2 linked regions of the Saccharomyces cerevisiae S288C genome follow. Each later gene encodes a partner of the first gene's protein in a complex. Each region holds a gene or a part of one and is shown on either strand. Other genes may lie near its edges. The genes, in order: MOB1 and DBF2. A codon is read from its position in the direction of its gene.

Region 1 (15,751 bases):
TAAGTAAAATACATGAAGAAACGGCTGCTGAAAGAGAAGCAAGACTCAAGGAAGAGGAAGAATACAGAAAGAAAAGATTAGAAAAGAAAAGAAAAAAAGAACAGGAACTACTACAAAAGCTGGCCGAAGATGAGAAAAAAAGGATCGAAGAACAGGAGAAGCAGAAAGTCTTAGAAATGGAAAGATTGGAAAAAGCTACTTTAGAGAAAGCAAGAAAAATGGAAAGGGAAAAAGAAATGGAAGAAATCTCTTATAGAAGGGCAGTAAGGGACTTATATCCGTTAGGACTGAAGATTATTAACTTCAACGATAAACTTGATTACAAAAGATTTTTGCCGCTATATTATTTTGTAGACGAAAAAAACGATAAATTTGTGCTCGACTTGCAAGTAATGATATTGTTGAAGGATATCGACTTGCTCTCAAAGGACAACCAACCAACTTCTGAGAAGATTCCCGTCGATCCCTCGCACCTGACTCCATTGTGGAATATGTTGAAATTCATTTTCCTGTATGGAGGTAGTTATGATGATAAAAAGAACAACATGGAAAATAAAAGATATGTTGTAAACTTTGATGGGGTTGATTTGGACACAAAGATTGGGTATGAGCTTTTGGAGTACAAAAAATTTGTTAGTTTGCCCATGGCGTGGATTAAATGGGATAACGTTGTTATTGAAAACCACGCAAAAAGAAAAGAAATTGAAGGAAATATGATTCAAATATCAATAAACGAATTTGCACGATGGAGAAACGATAAGCTGAACAAAGCGCAGCAGCCGACGCGCAAACAGCGTTCTCTAAAAATACCTCGAGAGTTACCGGTTAAATTTCAACACCGTATGAGCATATCCTCCGTCCTCCAGCAGACATCCAAAGAACCATTTTGGTAAAACAATTCATCGGTCCGTTGGCATATGCTCATACATAGTTGCATTTTCGATTCATTAAATACTATTCATGTTAACATAATTCCATATAATCGTACTGTTTTGTCATTATTATATCGGCATGACACTCACCAATTTCTTTTTTTGATTTTGTATTGTTCGATAAGGCAACGAACGAGTACTCGAAAAAATGTCATGGACCCCTTAAAATTACTGAGGGGTTCAGAAAATACCGTGCAAAAGACGAAAAAAGACGAATTTCATTTGATTTATATTTTATAAATGACTGTTGCATTAAACAATAGACCAATTATTTCAATTTAATATTCTTTGCAGGAAACTTTCACAATGGAATAACGCCACATATTCATTGTAAAGAGCATGTATAACAAACACTGATTTTTGTTTTGAGTTTTAAAAGATATCCATTTACTAACATTCGAGGTGTACAAGCACAAGTTTTGCAGTGTTGCGTACTTCTCTTACTAAAGGGGCACGGCTAACTGGGACAAGATTTGTTCAAACAAAGGCCCTTTCGAAGGCAACATTGACAGATCTGCCCGAAAGATGGGAAAATATGCCAAACTTAGAACAGAAAGAGATTGCAGATAATTTGACAGAACGTCAAAAGCTTCCATGGAAAACTCTCAATAACGAGGAAATCAAAGCAGCTTGGTACATATCCTACGGCGAGTGGGGACCTAGAAGACCTGTACACGGAAAAGGCGATGTTGCATTTATAACTAAAGGAGTATTTTTAGGGTTAGGAATCTCATTTGGGCTCTTTGGTTTAGTGAGACTATTAGCCAATCCTGAAACTCCAAAGACTATGAACAGGGAATGGCAGTTGAAATCAGACGAGTATCTGAAGTCAAAAAATGCCAATCCTTGGGGAGGTTATTCTCAAGTTCAATCTAAATAAGTAGACGAGGAAAATAAAATTGTTTCGTATATTCCGTGTTTGGGGTATAAGTAGATTGTTTTCATATATACGCATTTGGTCTTAGTTCAGTAGGTTGATTACTTAGTTCCTTGTACCTTCTTCTGCAAATATCATTCATTGTTACTTCGAAGAAGAAAAAAAATAATCATGGAAAATTGGAAAAAAAAAAAGTCCAATCTAAAAAATAAAAATGTTCAAGTCATCGATTCTATGGGGAGGAAAAGGACAATCAGAACCGAAGTGTTGTGTAGCTAAAATATGTCATTTTCCTTCGGCTTTACTTCCAATGACTTTGATGATGATGAGCTTGTTGCTCAACCTGAAACATTCGTTGAAAGCAGCAAAGAAAACGAAAATACCACTGCTTACATCAATCCATTAGATTCGGATTTCTTGTCGCAAGCTGGAGTTGTGCAGCCAAATGTGGAAGACCTAGGAACAATATTGGAAAGTCTTAAGGATGTTAGATTGACATTTGAAGAGTTCCAATCTCCGATATATAGAAAACCATTGATCAAGAGGGAACTATTCGATGTCAAACATCAGCTAATGTTAGAGACAGATGCCCAATCCAACAACAACTCCACGGAACTGGACATTTTACTAGGTGATACTTCTGAAGATTTGAGAAAGAACATCTATGAAGGTGGGTTGAAATCATGGGAGTGCTCTTATGATTTAGTTGATTTGTTGTCAGAGAACGTTGATAGAATAAGCAACGATATCGACGCGGTTGTCGAAATAGGCTGTGGTACGGCACTACCCTCAGAGTTTCTTTTCAGATCTGCTCTTCTACGGAATGATAGAAGTAAAGGTTTAAAGTTTGTTTTGACTGACTATAATGCCAGTGTATTAAGATTAGTTACCATACCGAATTTGGTTATAACATGGGCTAAAACGGTTTTGACAAAGGAACAATGGTACGCCTTACAGAAAGACGAATGTGAAGATATTCCAATAAATAATGAGGAACTGCTTCTTACCTCAAAGCTGTTAGCTGCCTTTTACGACGATGTACAAAGCAGGAATATCAGCGTCACTCTTATATCAGGATCGTGGGGACGTAAATTTAGTAATTTGATCCATGAAGTACTCTCAGGTAGCCAAAAAGTCCTTTCATTATCCTCAGAAACAATTTATCAACCTGACAATTTGCCCGTTATAGCGGAAACAATACTTGACATACACAATTTACCACAAACCGATGTCAAAACTTACGTAGCCGCAAAGGATATTTATTTTGGAGTCGGTGGTAGCATCACTGAATTTGAAGCTTATTTGGACGACAAAATAAACTCCGAACATCTACCAATTCATTCTGAAAGGTTTAAAGTTAACTCTGGCTTAAAAAGGTCGATTATATGCATTGAAACAAATAAAGCTATCCGATAGTTAGTATAATTTGTTTCAACTTCATTTCCTTAAGTTAATCCATAAGTCTTTTACTGTATCTTTTATTTATAACATGGATGAAAATAGAAAAGAAATATAGAAGTAAAAATTAAAGTAACTGTTCAATATACATAATATAATTGGAAAGCAAAAATGCAACCAACAAAAATATACAGTTTCTTTTTATCATTGATTCCCTTTTAGCCTTATTTGCTAATTCTGGCTTTCATGATTTGTAAGAATTCTCTGTAACTTTCGTTATTCAAAATCTTATCCTCCACTAAGGTGCTAGAAGCCCATAGTCTTAGCGTTGCAACTTCCCTAGCAGATGCATGGTTAACGGGCTCGCTCAAAGAGGCACCCCTAACAATATACAATGATTGGTAAGTGATGACATCATCATGGTTTCTCAATTGGTTGATAATGTTTCTTACTCTTTGATTGAATTCAGAATTTTCAACAACAGGTATTTCCTGTTTGCCAATTGGAATGTCAAAGATATCCTGTGTTCCAAACACATCGAATACTAGCGCTGGTACAGCGTCACCACCCATCCACAAAAACAATTCGTTACCATTATCTATCAAGTATAGACCGTATCTTTCAAACAACGAAGAGGTAGCATTGATTGGTTGAGGCAAAACAATTGTGCCAGTAGCTTCACCATCTTCAGTTTGCACTGGTAACCCAGCCTCATCAGCCATATCATGCAGCGAATAAACATCAGGGTAGATGTTTTTGATTAGATATTTCAAAGGTAATGATTCTAAGTTGTTCAAGGCCGAGGCGCGATGGTCACTTGGGACAATACCAGATCTAAATGCCATATGCTTAGTTAAAGAATGCATTAACAATGGGAACATTCTCAAATTGGCACATAACCTCAATGGGGCCCCCCCTGCAGTGTTGGACACCACTATTTCCTTCTTGTACGTGGCTAAGATATCTTGCACGGATTTGTTGATCAATACTCTTGCATCGTCCAAACTGGAATTCAATGCTTTCTCCACCGCCTTCGAGTTGTAAAACGACGCTATAGCTAATTGGTCAGCAGATGCGTAGACTTCTGCCAACGATTCCGTGGTTGGCATAGCCAATGTTATAATTCTTATTCTACGTTGACTATTATTCAGAGATAAAAGTACCGCTACTTGAACATAACAATAGTCAGCCATAATGGATTCATCAACGTTAACTTCGAATAAGTATGATTGATCTCTTGGCATGGTGGAAAATGCACATAAATCAGATGATCTATTGAAGAAGTGACCATAGAATCTACTCATTCTCAAACCTGTGGAACCACGGGCTCTCATTACGGTTTCCATACAGAAATCCATGGAAATGTGCTTGGCAAACTCAGTGGAAAATTTGACAATATCATTTGGGTTCTTGCCTGAAAAACCAGGATAGAAATGCGTTTGACCAGCAGTGAAACGACTCAAATTCGATAGTGATGCAACGTCCATATAATCTTCAGAAGCCAAAAATAAATCGACAGTAATCTGTACTTTAGAACAATCGATGGTGAAATTCTTATAAAATGAGTCTTGACAGGAAAGTAGTTGTGCAGTTTCCTTGGATGTATTAACAACACCACTTTCATTTCTCCTTTGTAATTTTCCTATGCCTAAGTTGGGCAAAGTACCTGACACAACAATTATTTTACCACCAACGCCACCAATTAAATGATAAGCGGATTTCAAAGCGGGGCCCAGTGCGAAATTTGTGATTAAATTAGATTGGAAGATTTGAGGAATCTTGGTCAATAAAGTTTCAATGTTTTGTCTGCAGGCCTTTAAGGACACAACCATAGAGTTTGGTCTGGGCAAGAAAGGCTCTTCCAGGTCGGCAATATCCATCATGTTGATTTGATCGGCGGACTCTTCATTGTTTTCAGAATCCAATGGGATTTTAAAGTAGTGAATGGCGTTGTCTACACATAAGATGGAAATTCTGGTTCTTTCATCATGGTTTGGAATGGAATCAAGATTTTGCAAAAGGGTGTTGATGGTAGTGGCCAGTAACCCACTCTTGATAGAGGACTGGGAGACATCGATCAGGAAACAGTAAGTGGCTGGAGGTGGTTGTCTTAGAGTATATTCCTTTGGGGCCATATATTCCATCACAGCACATTTGATTTCATTTCTGTCGTATCTACTCTTTGGGTCGTTTGGATCGCTCTGGTCCATTTGCATAGGAACGTCATTGGCCAGACGACAAAAGTTACATCTCCATCTTCTGCCTTGCTCGATAAAAGTGACAAAAGGGTTCATGTAAGAACGACAACGACGACAACGGACAATAAGTCCATCTTCATTCAATGGAGGCGGGTCGATATCGTCGTACAAGTGTTGGTATGGTCTGATAACAAGCCCAAATGGAAGTTTAGACTTCTTCAGCAGGGAGCTGTTCTTAGGAACGGCGTTCAAGGTCGACCTGATATAATCTGGAGACGCATTGGACAATTCAGAAGGAACTAACATCCTTTCTGGAGGAATAACCAACGGTGGGGGAGGCAAGGTCAGATCGGTAATTGGAGGAGGCAATTCCGTCAACAGATCGATTGGATACAACTGGTTCATGGGCCTCATGTTTTGGCCCATTGCGGCGCTAGGTTGGCCATACGCAGGCGCTGCCATTGGTTGTTGCTGTTGCTGCAAAGGTGTGCCCATTTGCACGGGAACCTGTGGCTGCATATAAGCGTTAGGATCGACTAGCGGTACGTTGTGCAGATGCATATCGTTCATGGAAGTGGTGGCCTGATCAATTTGCTGGTGTAACTGTTCTTGAGCAGGGGTTAGGAATTGTTGCTGCCCCATGGAAGGGACTGCACCCTGTGGCGGCATTCCCATCTGACCATAGCTCATTCCAGCTGCAGCAGGATCCTGCGGAGGCATGAATTGTGCTGGCTGTTGTAGAGGGGTGGCATTTTGTCCATACTGGAGCTGAGCTTGTGGGTAAACACGTTTCTTGTGATGAGACATTTTGCAGATGGTCTCAGACTTATATATTTATGTCTGTTTCAATGCGGCAAAAATGGACCTGAGTGCCAGATAAAACCTTTTTGTAGTGCTATTTTTGGCCTGTTTCCTGATGTACCATCCTCCTTACATAGTTTTGTTTTTCTTCGTTTTCGTTCTTCCAGTTTTCATTTTCTTCTGCCGTAAATGGAAAAAACAAGAAAAAAAAAAAGAGAACAGCTAAGCGTTAACAAATCTGCTCCAGTGGCCATGTCCAAGACTGTTTTTCAAGCCCAGATAGTGCCTGAATAGACTGCATTAAGCTGAAAAACTTATAGCAGTGGTTAGTGCAAAATGCACACTTGTCAGTGCTATGTATATTTGTGACACGATTCTATCACCCAAACATAGCACTAATTACTTTTTTGTTACCCGGCATTCTAGGCGGAAATTTGCTGAAATTTTCCATCAATTAATTACGTAACCTATTCTTTTAAGAGCATGATGTTGTATATAAATATAGATCACCTTAGGAACAGTCAGGCTTTCTTAGGTTTCAGAAGTTCATGTGTCTTGGCGCAGTCAATTCTCTCGATCTTTTTTTGGTTTGGACGTTTAAGAGTAGCGGTCGCCGGAAAATAGAGAGAAAAAGGAAATTTAAAAGGAGTTCTTCTTTCTTCTTATTATTAGATCGTATACAGTAAAAAAAAAAAAAGGAAGTAGTAGTTCGAAGAGAAAGAAATAAATGGTAGGCTCGAAGGATATTGATCTATTCAACCTGAGAGAGAACGAGCAAATCGTTTCTCCTTGTCTTATCGTGCACGGAAAATGCAATAAGCAAAATGGTGCGAAGACCGTTCAAGTGCAGCATCCACAATTGCCTCCAATTACTTACCCCATACATAATCAGTTCTTCAAGGCCACTGTGATATTGACTCCTGGTGAGAACAAGTTGACCTTTGTTACAGACACTAACACCGCTAGGACAATCGTATGTTACTACACACCACTGACGCAGAACCCTCCCGTACACCTGTGTCTGATCTTGGCCAAGGATTCGCCTTTACAGTTTGACTCTCCTCGAGAACAGAAGGACAGAGAGGGCGGGAATGGCCTCGAATTGGCAATCAAGAAGCTAAGACTTGGGGCCAGACTCATGCAAGCGTACACGAACGAGCAAATGCTGAGAAACAGTATGGGAAATAGGACGTTTCCCTTTGTTGAAGAATTTACCTGGGACACGCTGTTCGAACGGCCTGCTATGAGAAACACCATCAAAATACATGTAGTTCGTTCGGAAAAGACGGTGAAGGAAATCCAGGACCCTGACATAGCTCAACAGAATTCCAAAGGGAAAAACACCGGCGCCCTTTTTGGGATAGCCATGGACGCCCTTAAAAGTTACGGCGGACCCTTCACCAATAACGAAAAGCCTGTTCAGGCAGCTTGTATGTTTCTAGACACCCACTGGGATGGTAAGTTGATTAGAGGCCACGCCGCATTGGGTGGGGGTGACGACAGCATTAAGCTCGCCATTTTTGGGTCGCACGGGCTTTACTCATGGCCTACTTGTCTCGAGCAATTGGTGCCTTATTTTACTGATGAGACAAGATCCTCCACCAGTGAAGTCGCCAACGACTGTAATGAGTGTGGTACTTACTGGGAATGTTTGACTATCACGTTGGGAGCATTTATGCATGAGATTGGTCACTTACTGGGTTGTCCTCATCAGGAAAGCGGTGTTATGCTAAGAGGCTATACCACTTTGAATAGGTCTTTCTTGACTAAAGAGGCTTATTCTGTAAGAACTAATTCAACTGGTGCTAGTCCTCCCATCTTCCCCAAGGAAGAATGTACCTGGAACCGTCTCGATACGGTAAGATTTTTGTACCACCCCTCTTTCACTTTACCACAGGATTATTACGATCCATCGTTCATGAGACCTACAAAATTGGGCGGATACCCCAATATAAAACACTCTGTATATCCTTTGGGTAACGGCAGTTGCCGCATATTATCGCCCACAGGAATCTATTTGATTGAAATTATATGTGATGATTTGGCCAGGGGCCATATTGAATACTTGCCGGTTTCCCTAGGTGGACAGGGGCCTCAACGGGAAGTTATAGTAACATTAGATGATTTACGTGCCAGGTTGCCCAAGAATGAACTCGCCAAGTTTGGCAATACCTTCAAATTGAAAATTCTTTCTGTTAATGCACCGGAAACCGAGTTCGACAAGTTCCCATCTTTGTTAGATGTTCAGCCATTAGACATGTCGAAATATGGGTTTTCTAAAAATGTTCAAGGTATCAAATCACCACTTTATGGTCGCAGCGACGGTGGTAATGCTGTCGGCGTCGTCGCTTTTGATGTTAGATTAGTCACTGCTGTGAGAATATACCATGGCTATGCATTAGATGGTGTGAGGTTTTATTACAAGGAAAAACCAACTGGAACAAAGGATGCTCCCGCATCCAAGCCCTCTGTACCACCAAGAAATTATTTCTCAAAAATTACACATAGTATCAAAAATCATGCTTCAATAAACGAAGAAAATCTAAAAAGTGTACTCTTTGGACATGAAACACAAAATTTTACGGATGCTACACTAGAACCGGGTGAAATAATCATTGGGTTTAATCTGAGGTGCGGAGCTTGGGTTGATGCTATCCAAATTATAACGAGTCATGGGAGAATGACCGACATGTTTGGTAACAAAGACGGAGGTGGGTTCGCTGAATTGCAGCCACCTAATGGCCAATATATCCTAGGTGTGACTGGCAGAGTCGGTCAATGGGTCGACGCCTTCGGAATTATTTACGGAGCTTTATAGTAATTAGTCAAGGTTTTTTTTTTCTTATTTTTTTCTATTTCATAACTTAGTCATATCAAAATATATCTATTAAATTATTTTCCATATATACGTAGATATTCTTCATTTGCATAATTCTTTGGGAAAAAGGAAAACAGTTATAGAAAAATATAAACAAAAAACCGCAACACTTCATGATTGCGTCGAACAATATACCTTAAAGAAGAAAAAAAAAGGTTGGTTTTATCACTTCATTAGTCTATTTGAATAATTCATAAAATATTTCTGATTTTTTTTTTTTTTTTTTTTTTTCATATTATTTTAAACGTGACTTTGGCTGCGATTCATGGTTTTTGCCCTTATATCTTCGTTGTCATTATTATCAGCATTATTAGGATAATCCTTTCCATGTAATAGAAAACTTTTATTTTTCAACATGGATAACTTTTCGTCCACTTTATCTATTTCAAAAATTTGCCTTGGTGTAGCCGCTGACTTCTTTACATTAGGTACATTAGAAGCCGCTTTATTGTTGTTAGCCAAAAGAGGATTCACGTTGTTTTGATTTGGAACAACCCTGGGACGATGTATCGAAATTGAGGTACCTCCACCATCTAAGATGTTATTAGAAGTATTAGTGGCCATAAGTGGTGCAGATAATGGTATTCTCGAATCACCATTTTCATTCTTGATGTTAAAGTTGCTCCCAATGAGAGTGGTATTATTGCTGCCAGTTTGAGCACTAACGCTATTCTTGGGTTGTTCTGATAATTCACTCTGGGATGAAGATGCAGAAGTAGGATTAGATCTTTTTCTTGACAAAAAGTCACTTGCAAAGCTGCTTCTTGCACTTGGCGGAGCTGTTGGTATAACAGAATATCTTCTTTCATTATAAACAAGGCCAACCTCCTTTACTCTGGTGGTATTCAAGTCCGTTTGTGGGACCTTAGAAAATGAATCCGATGCTTCATCATACTCCCATAATGACCAAGTGATTCCATATGGTTTTGGTTCTAGGCAATATACACAATGTAATGGGACATCCAAATTGGCAATAATACCCATACTCAAGTTCATAAAATAACCCAATAAGGCTCTTGCCACCACCCGGTGTGTAATAATAAGAACGTTATCCTCGATTCTTTCTAGTTCTGTGATAACAGGTCTGAGTCTATTAATAACGTCCATATACGATTCACCGCCAATACCAGGGTATCTGTATCTCAACTTATCTTTCTGTCTTTTTTCGAATTCTTCAGGAAAGTTGTTTTTAATTTCTGGATATGTCATACCATCATAATCACCTGCACTTAACTCATCTAACATTTTCATTTGTTTGATAGGATAATCATCTTCGTTGAAATATTGAGCAGTCCCTATAGTCCTAGCACGCATGCTGGTCCAAACGAAAAAGTCATTATAAATGTTCCCATCTGTATTTTCATTATTCTTTTTTTGTTGCATGAGATTTTGATAAAATATTTCTCTCTGTCTGGCAATGAATTTTGGTAGACTTTTAGCAAATCTTAGACCACGAGGAGTCAAATGGGAATTTCCGCCTATACGGCCACTAACATTATCTTCGCTCTCGCCACTTCTCGTTATCCAAATTTGTCTGTCAGCCAAATTGAAATTTAACAAATAATATACCGTCTGCGAAGCTAAAAACCCTTGAATATTGTATGCGATGACTTTCTTTCCCACATCTATCATTTTGATGTACTGCAAATTTTCGTCATCCTCAATTGGTTCATAGGCTTTCAAGTAGTTTGCCAGGCGACTTTTAAAATCTTTTAAAGAGCTTTCAGGATCTTTACCTTTGTAATCTGGACCAAATAATTTGAGTCTAATATTTTTCTGTACCAGTGCATGATCCGAACAAACAGATTCTAAAAATAAAACCTTCAAATGAGGACTTCTCTTTCTGATTCTAGCCAGAACGTTTTTTCTTCTTTCACGAGAGGTATTTGTAGCATCAAAAATTCCCACAGATCCTGAACCTTCTAATAAATAATCTAGCAATTCATCCAGAGTATCCATGGCCCATTTGTCTCTCAACCTAGTAGAGTCGGCGTTTTTCGGCTCGAAAAACTTTGAATCCTGGTCCTTTAGGCCATGCTCCTTAGCAAACTTCCTTCTAGTGTTACCGACATTAAACACTTTACAATAGTATAAAGAATAATTTAAAAATCTGGATAATTTATTTGTAATAAATGACTTTCCCGTAGCTGGCAGTCCGACCATGACAATCACTAACTTTGATCCACTATCTTCCTTTGATATGAGACCATCTGGAGATGTTTTAGACTTTGTTAAACCAGGAACATCGATGGTGGTAGGTCTTCTTTTATGGTGTCTCGTAGGTGATTTAATGTCTTTCAAATCAATCCGAGTTACCTCATTTGCTCCATCTGAAGGAGGCATGTAGTCAGTAGTATCGTTTGTGGGAATTTTAGCATTTTTTAGTTGCGTTTCGTCGTTAATATGCAATCGATGTAGCGATTTCAAATTAGTAGCGCTATTTTCAGGAGAGTCAGAAGGTGTATTTTCTTCAGTGATTCCAGGAGAGTTCCAATTGCTCGATATAGGAGTATCGCTCAAAGGTCTTTTCTGAAAAAGTGGTAAGTGCTTAGATAATTCATCATGCGGACCCTTTTCAGCATCAATTTTATCATCGGAACTCCGGGATAAAAGATCATAACTGGAGTCTTGACTAGGTGCCACATGGTGTGGAGATTGTGTAGGAGCAAGATCAATATCAGGCGGCACAGGAGATGTTTCAGAGAAGTCTACTGGTTTGAACATGAGCTTTTATTCCTCTTGCCTTTGTTCCCTTGAATAAACCCTTCTTCTACGCCTCTTGTTATTATTTTTACTCTTTTAGCTTATGGCACAAAAGTACACAAATAGATACTAAAAGGCGAAATTTATTTCACTTGATTTACCCGTAACTGAATACTTGAGTTTGTCTATATATATATATGTATACCTTTTATTGTTAAAAAAAGAATATGCCAACAAAATCTATAATAAATAGTCCATGTACTCCACTATAAATTAATTTGCTATTGTCAGTAATGGCGCGATTAAAAATAAATAGGAAAAGAAATCTCTCCTCAAAAAATCTTATGTCCCCTAATTTCCGTATGTTGTGATTTTGGTATTCAGAGATGATCACGTGATATAAACGTGATTATTATTATCGGTCGGGTATCCCACTCGTATAATATGACAAATACGTTCGATCAAAAGAAGGGTAATACTACTTCCCAAAATGGAAATATCAAAACGTTAGAAGAATTACAATTATAGCTTTGGTAACATTACTGATCTAAAAGAGCCTTAGCTCAGCCCGTTTGAGCTGTATAGATATTTTTTTAGTTTATTCGAGAGAAAACCGGTTTTTTTGTTAGTATCTTCAACAAAATTTTCCTAATTCAATAAGGACTTCAATTTCCATGTCTTTTCTACAAAATTTGTATGTTGCTATTTTCTTTTCTACTTCAAGTATTATTGTTCATCTTTTATTAACAAACTGGGTATGAGTTACCTTTTGAAAGCAGTCATATAAGTCCCGGCCAAACAATAAGATCTACTAGAGGTTTCAAGTGGAATACTGCCAATGCAGCTAATAATGCAGGCTCTGTATCGCCTACTAAGGCAACTCCCCATAACAATACTATTAACGGCAATAATAATAATGCCAATACTATTAACAATAGAGCAGATTTTACAAACAATCCAGTAAACGGATATAATGAAAGCGACCATGGAAGGATGTCTCCCGTCCTCACTACGCCAAAGAGGCACGCCCCTCCGCCTGAACAATTACAAAATGTAACGGACTTTAACTATACACCATCGCATCAGAAGCCGTTTCTACAACCGCAAGCAGGTACGACAGTTACAACACATCAAGACATCAAGCAAATTGTGGAGATGACACTGGGGTCTGAGGGAGTCCTTAACCAAGCTGTGAAGTTACCGCGTGGTGAGGATGAGAATGAATGGCTAGCGGTTCATTGCGTGGATTTTTACAATCAGATTAATATGTTATACGGGTCCATCACAGAATTTTGCTCCCCACAAACATGCCCGAGGATGATAGCGACGAACGAATATGAATATCTTTGGGCATTTCAAAAGGGTCAGCCCCCCGTTTCGGTAAGTGCCCCTAAGTATGTGGAATGTTTGATGAGGTGGTGTCAAGACCAATTTGATGACGAATCTCTTTTTCCTTCCAAAGTCACCGGTACCTTCCCGGAGGGATTCATCCAACGAGTAATTCAACCAATTCTAAGGCGATTATTCAGAGTTTATGCGCATATTTACTGTCATCATTTTAATGAAATTCTTGAACTAAATTTACAAACCGTACTAAACACAAGTTTTAGACATTTTTGTCTTTTTGCACAAGAGTTCGAACTACTAAGACCGGCTGATTTTGGTCCGCTGTTAGAATTAGTGATGGAGTTGAGGGATAGGTAGTATTGTATATTTATATAAGTCTGCTTGTAGGTTGTATTCTTCCATGCATGGGACACAAAAACAAAAATACGGAAACATATTAATATAACATATGGATGGAAGGAAATAAAAACATTCTAGTTTACTATACTTGTATTTATGATTTGAAATCGTTTATTGGAGTTTGAATATAAATATTGGGAACTTGATCTTGTAATTCAGAATCATTAGTATCAGGTAATGAAGACATGGATGTATTCGTATTTGTTTGATTGTCCAATTTTGGTGTTACCGTGGACCCCACATAATTACTATTTATATCATCGTTTTCATCATTTTCTACCATTGTGCTATTGGCATTACTCAGCTGATACTTATTAATGCTGGTATGGTTATTGGTTAGCTTGGGTTTCCCATCTGAATTCAAGTTTAATTTTTGTGTTATGAATTTATACTTGTCTTGTATATTCGAAGTAGATGTTAAGATCTTCAAATTATCAAACCAAGACATCATTGATTCATAAGAATCGGCTTTAAAAACCCAATTGTGACCACGACGAATTATGCCGTTTTGCTTAGCATGCAACACAAACTTAGCATCCGAACCAGTCGAATTTGGTGATGATGTACTGTTTTTCCGGGAATGTTCCGTCACAGTACATTCACTTAATGCTAACGACATCACTGGTACTAAATCTTTTTTTCTGTCCGCGGTCTTGAATTCATGTAAAAAGTTCGGTGTCAGCACATAATACCCTTTTGAATAGGATTTTAGAAATTTTGATCTTCTTTCTAAAAACCCTGATTTGATTTCATAAGTCAAAGGATCGAATTGGTATTTGTAAACGATTTCTTTGAATGTCCTCATCGGTAGATTAGGCAATAAAAAGTTGGGATCCCTTGAAATGAAGTTATCCCATTCAAATTGTGGGTCAACGTTGAAAAATCCAGAATCTAATTTGGATATCAATATATCGAAAACCAATTGTGCTTCTTGTCCCAGTAATCTGGCATATATTGTTAAAGAGTTTTGAATTTCCATAACTACAATTTTTTCTAATTCAGCGCCTGAAGTCTCTAAATTATCAAAAGCTTCATGCAGAAAGTTTTCCTCCTGAAGTTGCTTTTTAATTTGTCTATCAAGCGCCAGCTTGGTTAAGAATGGATCTTGTTTTGGCACTGAATAGCGCGCATCCTTTAAAGACTCCTGAAATTGCTTCATGGCCTGTTTTGTTTGTTGTAACTCTTTGGAACAAGAATTTTTGAAATCCGACTGCAGTGATTTTATTTCCTTTATCTTGACTATTAGATCTCTCCTCAAGTCTTCCAAACGAGGAATAACATCATTGGTCAATTCCCTTGATGCCTTAGACGCGCTGGATGCTAGGGATTCATGATACTGGTTCAAAATTGTTGGTAAGTCCTGTATCGAGCCATTACCCAATGGCAAAAAAAACTTTTGTACTGATTTATCCTCCTGCGAGCTTGGTTGGTATTGATTCTCGATCGAAAAGAATGGGAATTGTACAGCATGTGATAATCTTAGTTGCTGTCTAACAATTTCATCCTGAATAGAAGCGATTTCTGTTAAGTAAACGATCACCGACTTGATGACATTTCTCCAAGCTGAAAACCTCGCTGCAAGAATATCTGTTGGTTGCGCAGCTGTAGGGACCAGTATTACTAATGGAGATCTAGGATCTTGTTGTTGTTGCTGTTGCTGAGCAAGTCTTTGACGTTGTAAGGAAGACCTAGCCCTCGACAGTATTGAAGTGTTGGTTAAAGAGTTTTTCCCTTGGAGCTGTTTCCCGTTGTTATTATTGGGATCTGGGACAGCAATGGTTACATTGGTGTTCGAGTCGATATTAGGAGAACCATTGCTTATGATACCTTGCAACCCTCCAGAATTCATCGTCAGCGTCCTATTGTTTTGAAACGTTGAATTACTAGTGGAAGGAACTGGTTGTCCATTCAAATAGCTTTGTTGGTTTATATCGGATGTCAAACTGCCATTTTGAAAGCTTGCGCTCTGCTGCTGTTGCTGCTGCTGCTGCTGTTGTTGTTGTTGTTGTTGTTGCTGTTGTTGTAAAACGTTGGCATGATCTGCTGAAGTCATACTTCTCGTATGCTGCTGCAAGTTATGCAGGTGCTGAAGATTTAGCTGTTGCTGTGACAGCATATCAGAGACCGCAGAGGTCATTGTGTTGTTTTTCGACATTTTTTTTTCTTTTAATGTTGTATTCTTTTATTGTTAACTACTTTTTTTCTTTAAAAAGCTTCA
Region 2 (15,956 bases), on another chromosome or scaffold:
TTTTCAATAGAAATGATAATGACTACAAAGTTTGCATTATTGATATTAGCACAAACTCTATTACATTCCATATTGAAAATTTACATGATGGCGAACTCATTGTTTTAGTAAACGGTGTTATCTGGTCAGAAGTTTCTTGCGCTTTAATTTTAGAGCATGTAGGCGAAGAATACGTTGTCGTTAACGGATTAGTCCCTTCTTGTTCTTATGATATTCAATTCATCAACAGACTAAATCACCGAGATGATTATTTGGTTTCTGATTTAATTGTAAGGACTTGTGGGAATAACAATGCGATTGCCGGAAAATTTGAAAACCTTGATTTCAGCTTCCCTTCATACTACCATAGGAAATTCTTATCTCCGTTGCTAACTCTGAAGCATTCCGTGCTAACTACAAACGCAAATTTGTCCGATGAAAGGACAAAATTGAAAAAGACAAAAAAGGAATTCAGCAAGAAGTTAAGTCTTTTGAGACAAGAAATTGATTATTTTAAAGGCAGGATTTCACAGAACGCAACACATGACGAAAAGAGCACTTTAAAAGTCGAAAATTTGAAGGTTGCCCTACAGCAAAGTGAGACTGCGGTAAATAAGTTAGAGATGCAATTGAAAACTCTCACTGAAAAAGAGCTTGAATTAGAAGAGGAATACTTGAAAAAGAAAGATCTACACTTGAAAAATCAATTAGAGTTCAGTAAGTTAGAAGAAAGCTTATCGAAAGACCTGAAAAACTCAGAAGGGAGGTTCCAAAAGGTCAATCAAGAATTAGTTCAACTAGGCTCTAAACTGGACAAATTGAACGCGAGAAACGAGAAGTTACAAAAGGAGGTCGATCAGAACGCAGAAGAGATAGAAAAGTTCAGTACTCAATTTTTGAGTAAAAGAGAAAAGGATAGATTTAGAAGAAAGGAGTACAGGATACGCGAAGCCAATAAATTTGAATTGACTATAAAGGGGTTAGAGCAAGATATCAACAGATTAGAAAATGAGAATGAAAATATACATAGTCTAATTGGTAATAGTTACTGATGGAAGATTAGAAAACAAAGATAGATAAGAATTCGTTTTGTAGCATCCTAAAATTTACTTCTATTGAATATATACATGTATTTATTACTTGGACGTTCTACTTTAAATGTAGTCAGTCGTTTTTTTCTCGATATTGTTTTTTTATTGTTTCCTAATAACTTCATTTGTTACTTTTTTGCCTTTTGTTATTTATGGAAATAATGCAGGTTAACATAAGTAAACATAAAATATGAGAAAAACTAAGAATGTTTGCTGATGTATTGAACAGTTCACATCGTTGTGTCTACTATTAACACTAAGTTGTTGATCAAAACATTCCCTAATTAATAGCTGCCCCAGGACTTGGAAGGCCACACTACTCTCCATGACATCAAAGATACGGCCCAAATAATCTGTATCCTCGATATGAACTTAGGACCACATATTTGGAGCTTGTCCAAAATACTAAAATGGCAGATAACAATTAGATGGTTCCAATTCAAATACATTACAAGCTACGAAAACTAATATTCTATAATTTATACTAAGTTCATGGAAAGAATTGCAATGGATTGAGGTTTCTAACGAGGTTATCACTACCGCAAATATAGAGAGTAAGTTGGTAATATACAACAATAGAATTTAATCAATAACCAATCTCAACATTATTGTATCGTATTTTAACTTATAATTGTGCTCATATCAAGTTTTCTAGGTTACAATTACGACCAATTCTCAGGTTGTTTTGCAAAATTGGCGAAGAGATGGAGGCCTACCACATATTATCACGATTTGATAGGGATAATCTGAGTAACGATTAGTTATTGACGAATCCCTTTAATATAGTTTCCACACGAGAATAGGCGCCTACTAAAGAATTGATGAATCTGCTGGTAATTTCTAGGTTTCCATTATTCGGTAAAATATACGGAATGTATTAGGGGTTCTTCATGACGATCAAAGATCCATGAATGGAGATCGGTATTTTTAAGTAATAGTGCTACTATTTTTTTCCTTTTTGCATTCTGTCGTTCAATATCCTGTTACATTATTAATCTTAGTTTCGGATTCCACTGAAATCAATAACTATATCCCATGGCTTGGGCCTTAATTCTTGTGTCATATACAATAATATGCTAGTGCCGTGAACACTAGCCAATGAAGAAATGATCGTTTTCCAACACATACCGGACGTGGCTCTGATAGTGCTCGACGATGGAAATTTCAGCATGCATACTGATGTATGTCAAGATAACAACTACAGTCCTATCGTCGTGATTATAGGGAATCGACCGCGCCACTGCTATGACAACGGAAAGTTTATCCATGGCCTGCTGATTTTGATGCTGCTGTGGACACGAGAATACCAACACCTGTTCACATCTTCATGTGGATGAACGTAACGAAGTGGATATTTAGGCTCGGTAGCGAATCTTTTGCCGTACCTCCAAATTTATCTTGTATCGATTTTTCCGTCTAGTTGAAACTGTTATTATCCGCCCCTCCAATTTTCTGTAAAGCATAGGTGCTTCTTCAAAGTATCCAATGTATTTCTTAAGCTTATCAAGAAATAACATACTTCGAATACGTCCCAAGTTTTCTGATAACTTTATCATATTCTTTTGGCTAATTGGCGATCGTTTATATACCCCAGTGATTTTGGTTATAAATTTATAATATAGTTCAAACTATCCTTCCTTTAGAACAACTGTAAGCTTTAATTTTGAGCAAGCGCTACCATTTGATATATAGCAAACTAACCAAAATGCTAAGACATCTTCTAGTCTAAAAGTAACTCTTTTTCTGTGTATCTAATTCACATTGTGAATTTGAAAAGTACCCTTATTTGTATATATGTTGGTTTTGATGGTAGGTGACCTCACTTTTCTTTAGAAAATTTGCAATTATAGTTTTAGACAATCCCTTTATGTTTCATGTGCGTATTCATTATTTTTAACAAATTCCTAGTTCTCAAATCTGAGTCTCTTGGTAAAAATTTGCCTCCTTAGCTTAGTGGTAGAGCGTTGCACTTGTAATGCAAAGGTCGTTAGTTCAATTCTGACAGGTGGCATAATTTTATATATCTCTTTTTTTGCTTGTTGTACGGAAGTTCTGTCCATCCGGTGGGCGACCGGTATAGAATTATCGCGCCATCCATGAAGGTTGGCCCAGGGCCGAGTAAAGATTTAGGCAGGACCGGTGGTGGCCACTGCCTGGGAACGTCGGCCTACGGCTCGCTGCATGCCGTTGAAAAATTTCAATTGTAATTTGGAAAATTTAACCAAATGATAATTTCAATATGTACCACTAGCACTTTACGTCAAGAATCTCAAGCAAACCAAAGGGTTTTAATCTTATACTTTTCCATTCTATTTTTTAATAGAATTTAAATCGGCAGCTCTTATACTTGGAAACAGGACGTTTTCATTTTGCTTTTTTGAAGGCCAGATATTTGCTTTCACTTTAAGAACCAACTCCAAGAAATCTTCAAAGTTTCCTTTGTTAGATTTATCCTCTGATTGAATTATTGAAACCACAGGTATAATCACTTTGGGGTAGAACATTATAGTTTTCATAGAAATTTTACAAAGGATCTCCTTCATATACCATGGCTACAAGTGTTAAAAGAAAAGCATCTGAGACTTCTGACCAGAATATTGTTAAAGTGCAAAAGAAACATTCCACACAGGACAGCACAACTGACAACGGATCCAAAGAAAATGATCACAGTAGTCAAGCCATCAACGAGCGTACCGTGCCCGAGCAAGAAAACGACGAAAGCGATACTTCACCTGAAAGTAACGAGGTCGCTACTAACACTGCTGCGACTCGCCACAATGGAAAGGTTACTGCAACAGAGTCCTATGATATTCACATAGCTAGAGAAACGGCTGAATTATTCAAGTCTAATATTTTCAAGTTACAAATTGACGAATTACTGGAGCAAGTGAAGTTAAAACAAAAACATGTTCTGAAAGTCGAAAAATTTCTACACAAGTTATATGATATTCTCCAGGAAATTCCTGATTGGGAGGAAAAGTCATTAGCTGAAGTGGACTCCTTCTTCAAAAACAAGATTGTTTCTGTTCCATTTGTTGACCCCAAACCTATTCCTCAAAATACTAATTATAAATTCAATTACAAGAAACCAGACATCTCCTTAATTGGCTCCTTTGCTCTTAAAGCTGGAATTTATCAACCTAACGGCTCTTCCATTGATACTTTACTAACAATGCCAAAGGAGTTGTTCGAAAAAAAAGATTTCTTAAATTTCAGGTGCTTACACAAGAGGAGCGTTTATTTAGCATACCTAACCCACCACCTATTGATATTATTGAAAAAAGATAAATTAGACTCATTTTTGCAACTCGAGTATTCTTATTTTGATAATGATCCGCTTTTACCAATTTTAAGAATTAGTTGTTCCAAACCAACGGGTGATTCTCTTTCTGATTATAACTTTTACAAGACCAGATTCTCTATCAACTTGCTTATTGGTTTCCCATACAAAGTCTTTGAACCAAAAAAACTGTTACCCAATAGAAACTGTATTAGAATAGCACAAGAAAGCAAAGAGCAATCTTTACCAGCCACTCCTCTTTACAATTTTTCAGTGTTATCTTCTTCAACACATGAAAACTACCTGAAGTATTTATACAAGACGAAGAAACAAACAGAATCTTTTGTTGAAGCTACTGTTTTAGGTAGATTATGGCTGCAGCAACGTGGGTTTTCATCCAATATGTCGCATTCTGGTTCATTGGGTGGATTCGGTACTTTTGAATTTACTATCTTGATGGCAGCGTTATTAAACGGTGGTGGTATAAATAGTAACAAGATATTACTTCACGGGTTTTCATCATACCAATTGTTTAAAGGTGTAATAAAATACTTAGCCACTATGGATTTGTGCCACGACGGCCATTTACAATTTCATTCTAATCCAGAGAATTCCTCCAGTTCACCAGCTTCTAAATATATTGATGAGGGTTTCCAAACTCCAACCTTATTTGATAAGTCAACCAAGGTCAATATTCTTACAAAAATGACTGTTTCTTCTTATCAAATTTTGAAAGAATATGCCGGTGAAACATTGAGAATGCTAAACAACGTTGTTCAAGACCAATTCTCAAATATTTTTTTGACTAATATTAGCCGTTTTGACAATTTGAAGTACGATCTGTGTTACGATGTACAGTTACCTTTGGGTAAGTACAATAATTTAGAAACTTCTTTAGCTGCTACATTTGGGTCAATGGAAAGAGTAAAATTTATTACTCTGGAGAATTTCCTCGCCCACAAGATTACAAATGTTGCAAGGTATGCATTGGGCGATAGAATCAAATATATCCAAATTGAAATGGTTGGTCAAAAGTCCGATTTTCCAATCACCAAAAGAAAAGTGTACTCTAACACAGGAGGTAACCATTTCAACTTTGATTTTGTAAGAGTAAAATTGATTGTTAACCCCTCTGAATGTGACAAATTAGTCACCAAGGGCCCTGCTCATTCTGAAACTATGTCTACAGAAGCAGCCGTTTTTAAGAATTTTTGGGGAATTAAATCTTCCTTAAGAAGATTCAAGGATGGCTCCATCACCCATTGTTGTGTTTGGTCTACATCCTCATCAGAGCCCATCATTTCCTCAATTGTTAACTTTGCATTGCAGAAACATGTTTCAAAAAAGGCACAAATATCAAATGAGACTATCAAGAAGTTTCATAATTTCCTACCGTTGCCAAACTTACCCTCAAGTGCTAAAACATCAGTTTTGAACTTGAGCAGCTTTTTCAACTTAAAGAAATCCTTTGACGATTTATACAAAATAATTTTCCAAATGAAGTTACCGCTTTCTGTAAAATCAATCTTACCGGTTGGCTCTGCATTTAGATACACTTCCTTATGCCAACCAGTACCATTCGCATACTCTGATCCAGATTTCTTTCAAGACGTCATTTTGGAATTTGAAACCTCACCTAAATGGCCAGATGAAATTACTTCCTTAGAAAAGGCTAAAACAGCTTTTCTTCTCAAAATTCAAGAAGAATTAAGCGCTAACTCTTCAACTTATAGGTCGTTTTTCAGCAGAGATGAATCCATCCCATACAATTTAGAAATTGTAACCTTGAACATCTTGACACCTGAAGGTTATGGATTCAAATTCAGAGTTCTAACTGAACGTGACGAAATCCTTTATTTAAGAGCTATAGCGAATGCTAGGAATGAGTTGAAACCAGAATTGGAGGCCACATTCCTAAAATTTACTGCAAAATATCTGGCTTCCGTAAGACATACTCGTACTTTGGAGAATATATCTCATTCGTATCAATTCTACTCCCCTGTGGTAAGACTATTCAAAAGATGGTTGGACACTCATTTATTACTAGGTCATATAACGGACGAATTAGCAGAGTTGATTGCCATTAAACCTTTTGTTGATCCTGCACCATATTTCATTCCAGGTTCTCTTGAAAACGGTTTCCTCAAAGTGCTTAAGTTTATAAGTCAATGGAACTGGAAAGATGATCCATTGATTTTAGATCTAGTAAAACCAGAAGATGATATAAGAGATACATTTGAAACAAGTATTGGAGCTGGCTCAGAGCTAGACTCCAAAACGATGAAAAAGCTTTCTGAAAGATTAACCCTAGCACAATATAAGGGCATTCAAATGAACTTCACGAACTTGAGGAACAGTGATCCCAACGGTACACATTTGCAATTTTTTGTTGCCTCTAAGAACGATCCAAGCGGTATTCTTTATTCATCAGGTATCCCACTACCCATTGCTACAAGGCTTACAGCATTAGCTAAAGTAGCCGTGAATCTTTTACAGACACACGGTTTAAACCAGCAAACTATCAATCTTTTATTCACGCCTGGATTAAAAGATTACGATTTTGTCGTTGATTTGAGGACACCAATAGGTTTGAAATCATCCTGTGGTATACTTTCAGCCACAGAGTTCAAGAATATAACTAACGATCAAGCCCCATCGAACTTTCCAGAGAATTTGAATGATTTAAGTGAAAAAATGGATCCAACATACCAGTTAGTGAAGTATTTGAACTTGAAGTACAAGAATAGTTTGATTTTATCAAGCCGCAAGTATATAGGTGTGAATGGTGGAGAGAAAGGAGATAAAAATGTCATCACAGGGCTAATAAAGCCACTCTTCAAGGGAGCCCACAAATTTAGAGTAAACTTGGATTGCAACGTTAAACCAGTGGATGATGAGAATGTGATTTTAAATAAAGAAGCCATATTTCATGAGATTGCTGCATTCGGGAATGACATGGTTATAAATTTTGAGACAGATTAGAATAAACAACAAAATCATAACTTTTAGAAGTATCTGTATAATATTAAATAATTAAAGCAGCCGGCAGTTTACATAAAGAATATTTTTCTTTAATTCTTTTTTTTAGATGTGGTCCTTTCGGCGATTTGGCACAAGTTAACTTAGTATTTTTAAAAGTTTTGAATAGTACTGCTGTGGCGACGCTCAGAATAAAGCTAGGTAAACGATTTGAACGCCTCAACTAGCACTATTTGATAGCATTTTGGCTGCAGAAAATATACAAAGACCTTATGAGCTCTGAAGAGGACTATTTCGATGAGCTCGAATATGACCTTGCCGATGAAGTTAATGAGGAAAAAGAAGACATACAAACTAAAAAGCTCACTACGGTAAATTGTCAAACAGAAAAATTCAATCCATTCGAAATTCTTCCGGAAAGTATAGAATTATTCAGGACGTTGGCACTCATCAGTCCTGATAGGTTATCTCTATCAGAGACAGCACAGATTTTACCAAAAATTGTCGATTTAAAAAGAATCCTTCAACAACAAGAAATAGATTTCATTAAACTGTTACCGTTTTTTAACGAAATCATCCCCCTCATCAAGAGCAATATAAAATTAATGCACAATTTTCTAATCTCACTGTACAGTAGACGTTTTCCAGAACTATCTTCATTGATACCATCACCATTACAATACTCAAAAGTGATAAGCATACTGGAAAATGAAAATTATTCAAAAAACGAAAGTGATGAACTATTTTTCCACTTGGAAAATAAAGCAAAATTGACCAGAGAGCAGATCCTCGTTTTAACAATGTCCATGAAGACGTCTTTCAAAAACAAAGAGCCATTGGACATCAAAACGAGGACGCAAATTTTAGAAGCAAATAGCATATTGGAAAATTTATGGAAACTACAAGAAGATATAGGTCAATACATAGCCTCAAAGATATCAATAATTGCCCCTAACGTGTGTTTCTTGGTAGGCCCGGAGATAGCAGCCCAATTAATAGCACATGCTGGAGGGGTTTTGGAGTTCAGTCGCATTCCCAGTTGCAACATTGCGTCCATTGGGAAGAATAAGCACCTCTCACATGAGTTACATACATTAGAGAGTGGAGTACGACAAGAAGGATATCTATTTGCTTCTGACATGATTCAGAAATTTCCCGTTTCTGTCCATAAACAAATGCTTAGGATGCTTTGTGCAAAAGTATCACTAGCCGCAAGAGTTGATGCTGGCCAGAAAAACGGTGATAGAAATACAGTTTTAGCTCATAAATGGAAAGCCGAACTATCGAAGAAAGCTAGAAAGCTATCAGAAGCCCCGAGCATTTCTGAAACGAAGGCTCTACCTATTCCGGAGGACCAACCCAAAAAGAAAAGAGCTGGGAGAAAATTTAGGAAGTACAAGGAAAAATTCAGACTATCGCATGTCAGACAATTACAAAATAGGATGGAATTTGGCAAGCAAGAACAAACTGTTCTTGATTCCTATGGTGAAGAAGTTGGTTTGGGTATGTCTAATACTTCTTTACAACAAGCAGTAGGAGCTACATCAGGTTCCAGAAGATCTGCTGGTAATCAAGCCAAGCTAACAAAGGTAATGAAGCACAGGATTTCTGAGGCTAATCAGCAAGCTGACGAATTCCTAATCTCCTTGGGTCATAATACAGAGCAACCGAATCTGTCGCCAGAGATGGTTCAAATGCACAAGAAACAGCATACTAACCCAGAAGAAGAGACCAATTGGTTTTCCGGTCATGGTTAGGGCTCTTCTACATACTTGATAATATTTAAAAAGATATTATATAGTAGTGACCGGCGAGAGCGTTTTCGCTCATAAATTTCGTAAAAAGCCAAACACCACACGCTGCAACCCAGATGCCCTTTTTAGGAAATGTAATTATTCAAAAAGTAAACAATGACATGTTTCATTCCTCAATCTAAATCATTCGAAGCTACCTTGATGTTGAAGCCCTCCGCTTGTTGTTTATTTAAAAATAAATACAAGGAGGCAATTCGTCCAAGTAAATTATTGTAAGATAGAAACCTTGCTAAAGATAGAAACTAATATACCAGAAAAATTCAAGCAACATCTACAGTATTCCTTGCTAAAGAAAAATTCTTTAATATGCTATCAAAATCAGAAAAAAATGTCGACCTCTTGGCAGGCAATATGAGCAATTTGAGTTTCGATGGGCATGGGACTCCTGGGGGCACTGGACTATTTCCTAACCAAAATATAACAAAGAGGAGGACAAGGCCTGCGGGTATCAATGATTCACCTTCGCCGGTAAAACCATCCTTTTTTCCTTACGAAGATACTTCCAACATGGACATAGACGAAGTATCTCAACCTGATATGGATGTCTCGAACTCTCCCAAGAAGCTTCCACCAAAGTTTTACGAAAGAGCAACTTCAAATAAAACACAGAGAGTTGTTAGTGTTTGCAAAATGTACTTTCTAGAACATTACTGTGATATGTTTGACTATGTAATTAGTAGAAGACAACGCACGAAGCAAGTTCTAGAATACCTGCAACAGCAAAGCCAACTTCCGAATTCTGACCAGATTAAACTCAACGAAGAGTGGTCCTCTTACTTACAAAGGGAACATCAGGTTTTGAGAAAAAGAAGGTTGAAACCAAAAAATAGGGATTTTGAAATGATCACACAAGTAGGTCAAGGTGGTTATGGGCAAGTTTATTTAGCCAGAAAGAAAGACACAAAAGAGGTGTGTGCTTTGAAAATTTTGAACAAAAAACTATTGTTTAAGCTCAACGAGACAAAACACGTTTTAACTGAAAGAGATATCCTAACCACGACAAGGTCTGAATGGTTAGTAAAACTTCTGTATGCATTCCAAGACCTACAAAGTTTATACCTGGCTATGGAATTTGTACCAGGCGGTGATTTTCGTACATTATTAATAAATACTAGATGCTTGAAAAGTGGCCATGCGAGATTTTACATCAGTGAAATGTTTTGCGCTGTTAATGCGTTACATGATTTAGGCTATACACATAGAGATTTAAAGCCGGAAAACTTCTTAATCGATGCCAAGGGACATATAAAATTAACAGATTTTGGTTTGGCTGCTGGTACGATTTCTAATGAAAGAATTGAAAGTATGAAGATAAGGTTAGAAAAAATCAAGGACCTGGAATTTCCAGCGTTTACAGAGAAATCTATAGAAGATAGAAGAAAAATGTACAACCAGTTGAGGGAGAAGGAAATTAATTATGCGAACTCCATGGTTGGGTCTCCGGATTATATGGCTTTGGAGGTTTTAGAAGGAAAGAAATATGACTTTACTGTGGATTACTGGTCGTTGGGTTGTATGCTGTTCGAAAGTTTAGTTGGTTATACACCATTTAGTGGATCATCGACTAATGAGACCTATGACAACTTAAGGCGCTGGAAACAAACTTTAAGAAGACCGAGACAATCTGATGGGAGGGCAGCATTCTCCGATAGAACTTGGGATTTAATAACAAGATTGATTGCCGATCCAATCAATCGATTAAGATCCTTCGAACATGTTAAACGCATGTCTTATTTTGCAGATATAAACTTTAGTACTTTGAGGTCAATGATCCCGCCTTTTACACCCCAACTAGACAGCGAAACTGATGCCGGTTATTTTGATGACTTCACCAGTGAGGCTGACATGGCCAAATATGCTGATGTTTTCAAAAGACAAGACAAATTAACGGCTATGGTAGATGACTCGGCAGTATCATCAAAACTTGTTGGGTTCACTTTCCGACATAGAAATGGTAAACAGGGTTCCAGTGGCATCTTATTCAACGGACTGGAACACTCAGACCCCTTTTCAACCTTTTACTAGCGTAAAAATGAATTCTTGTCTTGCATTCGCCGCGATATAATTAGCTTTAACGAGCTTCATGCAAACTTTTCAACTAGCACCTATGAACGCTTTTTTCATAAATATACATATATATATATATAGTTGTGCATTACTTAGGACTTCAAGCCCATTGTTTAAAATCTCAGTTCACGGTAACGGTCCATCCCATGACCGTTTTGAACTAAACTTAAGCATTCATGTTGGGAGCGGCGAAACTTGGTAATGTTTTACAGGAAAACAGCAATGACCACTATTAATCGAAAATCTGCAAAAAATGAAAAGGAATGGGTGTTAACATCAATTGTTTTTTCAATGATAATTACAAATTGGACTGATACTACATTGCTAGATGTACAAAAAACGCAAGGTAGCTCTCTTAGAAGGATCCATAATATATAAAAAAGGGCTTATGGTTTACTGATATCTTTTTCACTTCAAAAACTTACATATAAAAATAGGATGACAAATGCAAAGATTTTAGTAGCTCATATAAGTGAAAGCGATGCCGATGAGGCTATCAGAAAGATCAAGAAAGTGAATGAAAAATCAGGGCCCTTTGATCTAATAATTATATTCAGTAACTCGTATGATGAAAATTTTGAGCTGAATACTGATGGGTTACCTCAACTAATACTACTATCGTGTGATAAGGCTAACAATTCGAAATCCAAAAAGATAAATGAAAATGTAACATTGCTGCATAATATGGGTACTTATAAATTAGCAAATGGAATCACTCTTTCATATTTTATTTATCCGGATGATACTCTTCAAGGGGAGAAAAAAAGCATACTGGACGAATTTGGCAAAAGTGAGGATCAGGTAGACATTCTCCTTACAAAAGAATGGGGCCTTTCGATCTCTGAGAGATGTGGAAGGTTGTCTGGAAGTGAAGTTGTTGATGAATTGGCGAAAAAGTTACAAGCAAGGTACCATTTTGCCTTTTCAGATGAAATAAACTTTTACGAATTAGAGCCTTTCCAGTGGGAAAGAGAGCGCTTATCGAGGTTCCTCAATATTCCAAAATATGGATCTGGAAAGAAATGGGCCTATGCATTCAATATGCCAATAGGGGACAACGAACTAAAGGATGAACCTGAACCGCCCAACTTGATAGCTAACCCGTATAATAGCGTGGTTACAAACAGCAATAAAAGGCCACTAGAAACAGAAACAGAGAATTCGTTCGATGGAGACAAACAGGTACTTGCTAATAGAGAAAAGAATGAAAATAAAAAAATTCGAACGATTTTGCCGTCAAGTTGTCATTTCTGCTTTTCAAATCCAAACCTCGAGGATCATATGATAATATCAATCGGCAAACTAGTGTATTTAACCACAGCGAAGGGACCTTTAAGTGTTCCTAAGGGTGATATGGATATCTCAGGCCATTGCCTCATTATTCCCATTGAACATATTCCGAAATTAGATCCAAGCAAGAACGCAGAGTTGACACAGAGTATTTTGGCTTATGAAGCTAGTCTTGTGAAGATGAACTACATAAAATTTGATATGTGCACGATTGTCTTCGAAATACAGTCTGAACGTTCTATTCATTTCCACAAACAAGTTATTCCCGTTCCAAAATACCTCGTTCTAAAGTTCTGCAGTGCCTTAGATAGACAGGTTCATTTCAATAACGAAAAATTCACAAGAAATGCTAAGCTAGAGTTCCAATGTTACGATTCACACTCTTCCAAACAATATGTGGATGTAATTAACAACCAATCCAATAATTATTTACAATTTACCGTCTACGAGACTCCTGAAGCGGACCCAAAGATATATTTGGCCACATTTAATGCCAGTGAGACAATAGATCTGCAGTTTGGACGACGTGTACTAGCCTTTTTACTTAACTTGCCACGCAGGGTGAAATGGAATTCTTCAACCTGTTTACAAACTAAGCAACAAGAGACTATAGAGGCTGAAAAGTTTCAAAAGGCCTACAGGACCTATGACATTTCTCTCACAGAAAACTAAACTAAAACTATTTCATTTAGAATTTCAAATATATCCAAATATATGTATATATATGTAGAATACTAAGTCATGCTACCTCTGAACGTTTAAGAGACCTAGCAACTCAGAGGTGATGAATTAAAAGAAAAACCGGGTAAAGTTCTTCGAGAGACCGCGCTGAAAAAATTTTTTTAGAAGAGTCACCCATACAGCCTACTGGTGTTCTCTGTGTGTGCTACCACTGGCTGTCATCGTTGTTGTATGTCCTTCAGATTTATGGAATTACTTAGATGGTATGAATAAGTGGTTAAACACATTATCTAAGACATTCACTTTTCGGCTTTTGAACTGTCATTATAGGCGATCATTACCACTTTGTCAAAACTTTTCTCTGAAGAAGTCGTTAACTCATAATCAAGTCAGGTTCTTTAAAATGAGCGATCTTGATAATTTGCCTCCAGTTGACCCAAAGACTGGTGAGGTCATCATTAATCCGTTAAAGGAAGATGGCTCTCCAAAGACTCCTAAGGAAATTGAAAAAGAGAAGAAAAAGGCTGAAAAACTGTTAAAGTTCGCTGCCAAACAAGCTAAAAAAAATGCTGCTGCCACCACAGGTGCATCTCAAAAGAAACCTAAGAAAAAGAAGGAAGTTGAGCCAATCCCTGAATTTATTGACAAAACTGTTCCAGGTGAGAAAAAAATCTTAGTATCCTTGGATGATCCGGCTTTAAAAGCTTATAACCCTGCTAACGTTGAAAGTTCTTGGTATGACTGGTGGATCAAGACTGGTGTTTTTGAACCTGAGTTTACCGCTGATGGTAAGGTTAAACCAGAAGGTGTATTTTGCATTCCAGCACCTCCACCAAACGTCACTGGTGCCTTACATATTGGTCATGCTTTGACTATTGCTATCCAAGATTCTTTGATCAGATATAACAGAATGAAAGGTAAAACTGTCTTATTCTTGCCAGGTTTCGACCATGCTGGTATTGCTACTCAGTCCGTTGTGGAGAAGCAAATCTGGGCTAAGGACAGAAAGACTAGACATGACTATGGAAGAGAAGCTTTTGTTGGTAAGGTCTGGGAATGGAAAGAGGAATACCATAGCAGAATTAAGAACCAAATTCAAAAATTGGGGGCTTCTTATGATTGGAGCCGCGAAGCTTTCACTTTGAGTCCAGAATTGACCAAGTCTGTTGAAGAAGCTTTTGTTAGACTACATGATGAAGGTGTTATTTATCGTGCGTCCAGATTAGTTAATTGGTCTGTTAAATTGAATACCGCTATCTCTAATTTGGAAGTCGAAAATAAGGACGTTAAAAGTAGAACGCTTTTATCAGTCCCAGGCTATGATGAAAAGGTTGAATTTGGTGTTTTAACATCATTTGCTTATCCAGTTATCGGTAGCGATGAAAAACTGATCATTGCTACAACTAGACCTGAAACTATATTTGGTGATACTGCCGTTGCAGTTCATCCTGATGATGACCGTTACAAACACTTGCATGGTAAGTTCATCCAACATCCTTTCTTACCAAGAAAAATTCCAATTATCACCGACAAGGAAGCTGTTGACATGGAATTCGGTACTGGTGCCGTTAAGATCACTCCAGCCCATGACCAAAACGATTACAATACCGGTAAGCGTCACAATTTGGAATTCATCAATATTTTGACTGACGATGGTTTATTAAACGAGGAGTGTGGTCCAGAGTGGCAAGGCATGAAGAGGTTTGATGCCAGAAAGAAGGTCATTGAGCAGCTGAAGGAAAAGAACCTATACGTTGGCCAAGAAGATAATGAAATGACCATTCCAACTTGTTCCAGATCTGGTGACATTATTGAACCTTTATTGAAACCTCAATGGTGGGTTTCTCAAAGTGAAATGGCCAAAGATGCTATTAAGGTTGTTAGGGATGGTCAAATTACCATCACCCCCAAATCTTCTGAGGCTGAATATTTCCATTGGTTGGGTAACATCCAAGATTGGTGTATTTCCAGACAATTATGGTGGGGTCATCGTTGTCCAGTTTACTTTATTAATATCGAAGGCGAAGAACACGATAGAATTGATGGTGACTATTGGGTTGCTGGTAGGAGCATGGAGGAAGCTGAAAAGAAGGCTGCTGCCAAATACCCTAATTCCAAATTTACTCTGGAACAAGATGAAGATGTTTTAGACACCTGGTTCTCGTCCGGTTTGTGGCCTTTCTCCACTTTGGGTTGGCCAGAGAAGACTAAAGACATGGAAACTTTTTACCCCTTTTCTATGTTGGAAACTGGTTGGGATATTCTTTTCTTCTGGGTTACTAGAATGATTCTATTGGGCTTAAAATTGACCGGTTCAGTTCCATTCAAGGAAGTTTTCTGCCACTCTTTAGTCCGTGACGCTCAAGGTCGTAAGATGTCTAAATCTTTAGGTAATGTTATTGACCCACTAGACGTTATTACTGGTATTAAGTTGGATGATTTGCATGCAAAATTATTACAAGGTAACTTAGATCCAAGAGAAGTTGAAAAAGCTAAGATCGGTCAAAAGGAATCCTACCCTAACGGTATTCCTCAATGTGGTACCGATGCTATGAGGTTTGCATTATGTGCTTATACCACTGGTGGTCGTGATATTAACTTAGATATCTTACGTGTCGAAGGTTACAGAAAGTTCTGTAACAAAATCTACCAAGCTACCAAGTTTGCATTGATGAGACTCGGTGACGATTATCAACCACCTGCCACTGAAGGTCTATCAGGTAACGAATCCTTGGTTGAAAAATGGATCTTGCACAAGCTGACTGAAACCTCGAA

What was found.
Region 2: the proteins of MOB1 (region 1) and DBF2 are in contact, whole or in part, in a crystal structure (PDB 5NCN), measured with the Saccharomyces cerevisiae proteins. Residues at the interface, in NP_012160.2 of Saccharomyces cerevisiae: Leu141 (codon at 12,967), Asn142 (codon at 12,970), Ala144 (codon at 12,976), Pro148 (codon at 12,988), Arg149 (codon at 12,991), Gly150 (codon at 12,994), Glu151 (codon at 12,997), Asp152 (codon at 13,000), Glu155 (codon at 13,009), Trp156 (codon at 13,012), Ala158 (codon at 13,018), Val159 (codon at 13,021), Val162 (codon at 13,030), Asp163 (codon at 13,033), Asn166 (codon at 13,042), Gln167 (codon at 13,045), Met170 (codon at 13,054), Leu171 (codon at 13,057), Gly173 (codon at 13,063), Ser174 (codon at 13,066), Glu177 (codon at 13,075), Phe178 (codon at 13,078), Phe231 (codon at 13,237), Pro232 (codon at 13,240), Ser233 (codon at 13,243), Lys234 (codon at 13,246), Val235 (codon at 13,249), Gly237 (codon at 13,255), Phe239 (codon at 13,261), Leu273 (codon at 13,363); in NP_011606.3 of Saccharomyces cerevisiae: Lys99 (codon at 9,744), Thr100 (codon at 9,747), Val103 (codon at 9,756), Val104 (codon at 9,759), Val106 (codon at 9,765), Cys107 (codon at 9,768), Lys108 (codon at 9,771), Tyr110 (codon at 9,777), Phe111 (codon at 9,780), His114 (codon at 9,789), Tyr115 (codon at 9,792), Met118 (codon at 9,801), Phe119 (codon at 9,804), Val122 (codon at 9,813), Arg125 (codon at 9,822), Leu158 (codon at 9,921), Glu161 (codon at 9,930), His162 (codon at 9,933), Gln163 (codon at 9,936), Leu165 (codon at 9,942), Arg166 (codon at 9,945), Arg168 (codon at 9,951), Arg169 (codon at 9,954), Leu170 (codon at 9,957).

The regions. Positions count from the first base shown.
Region 1 is NC_001141.2:153,954-169,704, forward strand, and holds MOB1 (Mob1p), read left to right. Parts: upstream 1-12,461; coding exon 12,462-12,481; intron 12,482-12,566; coding exon 12,567-13,491; downstream 13,492-15,751. Other genes in the region: HOS4 (Hos4p), read left to right, coding at 1-893; COX5B (cytochrome c oxidase subunit Vb), read left to right, coding at 1,269-1,269, 1,358-1,812; HPM1 (protein-histidine N-methyltransferase), read left to right, coding at 2,092-3,225; COPII subunit SEC24, read right to left, coding at 3,432-6,212; YIL108W (putative metalloendopeptidase), read left to right, coding at 6,934-9,024; PFK26 (6-phosphofructo-2-kinase), read right to left, coding at 9,325-11,808; SLM1 (phosphatidylinositol 4,5-bisphosphate-binding protein), read right to left, coding at 13,628-15,688; YIL105W-A (uncharacterized protein), read left to right, coding at 13,711-13,851. UniProt on the Saccharomyces cerevisiae protein: Functions as an activator subunit for the DBF2 protein kinase. Binds to DBF2, which is required for the phosphorylation and activation of DBF2 by the upstream kinase CDC15 in late anaphase.
Region 2 is NC_001139.9:658,740-674,695, forward strand, and holds DBF2 (serine/threonine-protein kinase DBF2), read left to right. Parts: upstream 1-9,449; coding exon 9,450-11,168; downstream 11,169-15,956. Other genes in the region: NNF2 (Nnf2p), read left to right, coding at 1-1,031; rRNA-processing protein UTP22, read left to right, coding at 3,619-7,332; U4/U6-U5 snRNP complex subunit PRP31, read left to right, coding at 7,602-9,086; DRN1 (Drn1p), read left to right, coding at 11,649-13,172; VAS1 (valine--tRNA ligase), read left to right, coding at 13,447-15,956. UniProt on the Saccharomyces cerevisiae protein: Ser/Thr-protein kinase involved in the mitotic exit network (MEN) and required after the metaphase to anaphase cell cycle transition. Phosphorylates CHS2 to regulate its dynamics and chitin synthesis at the division site during cytokinesis.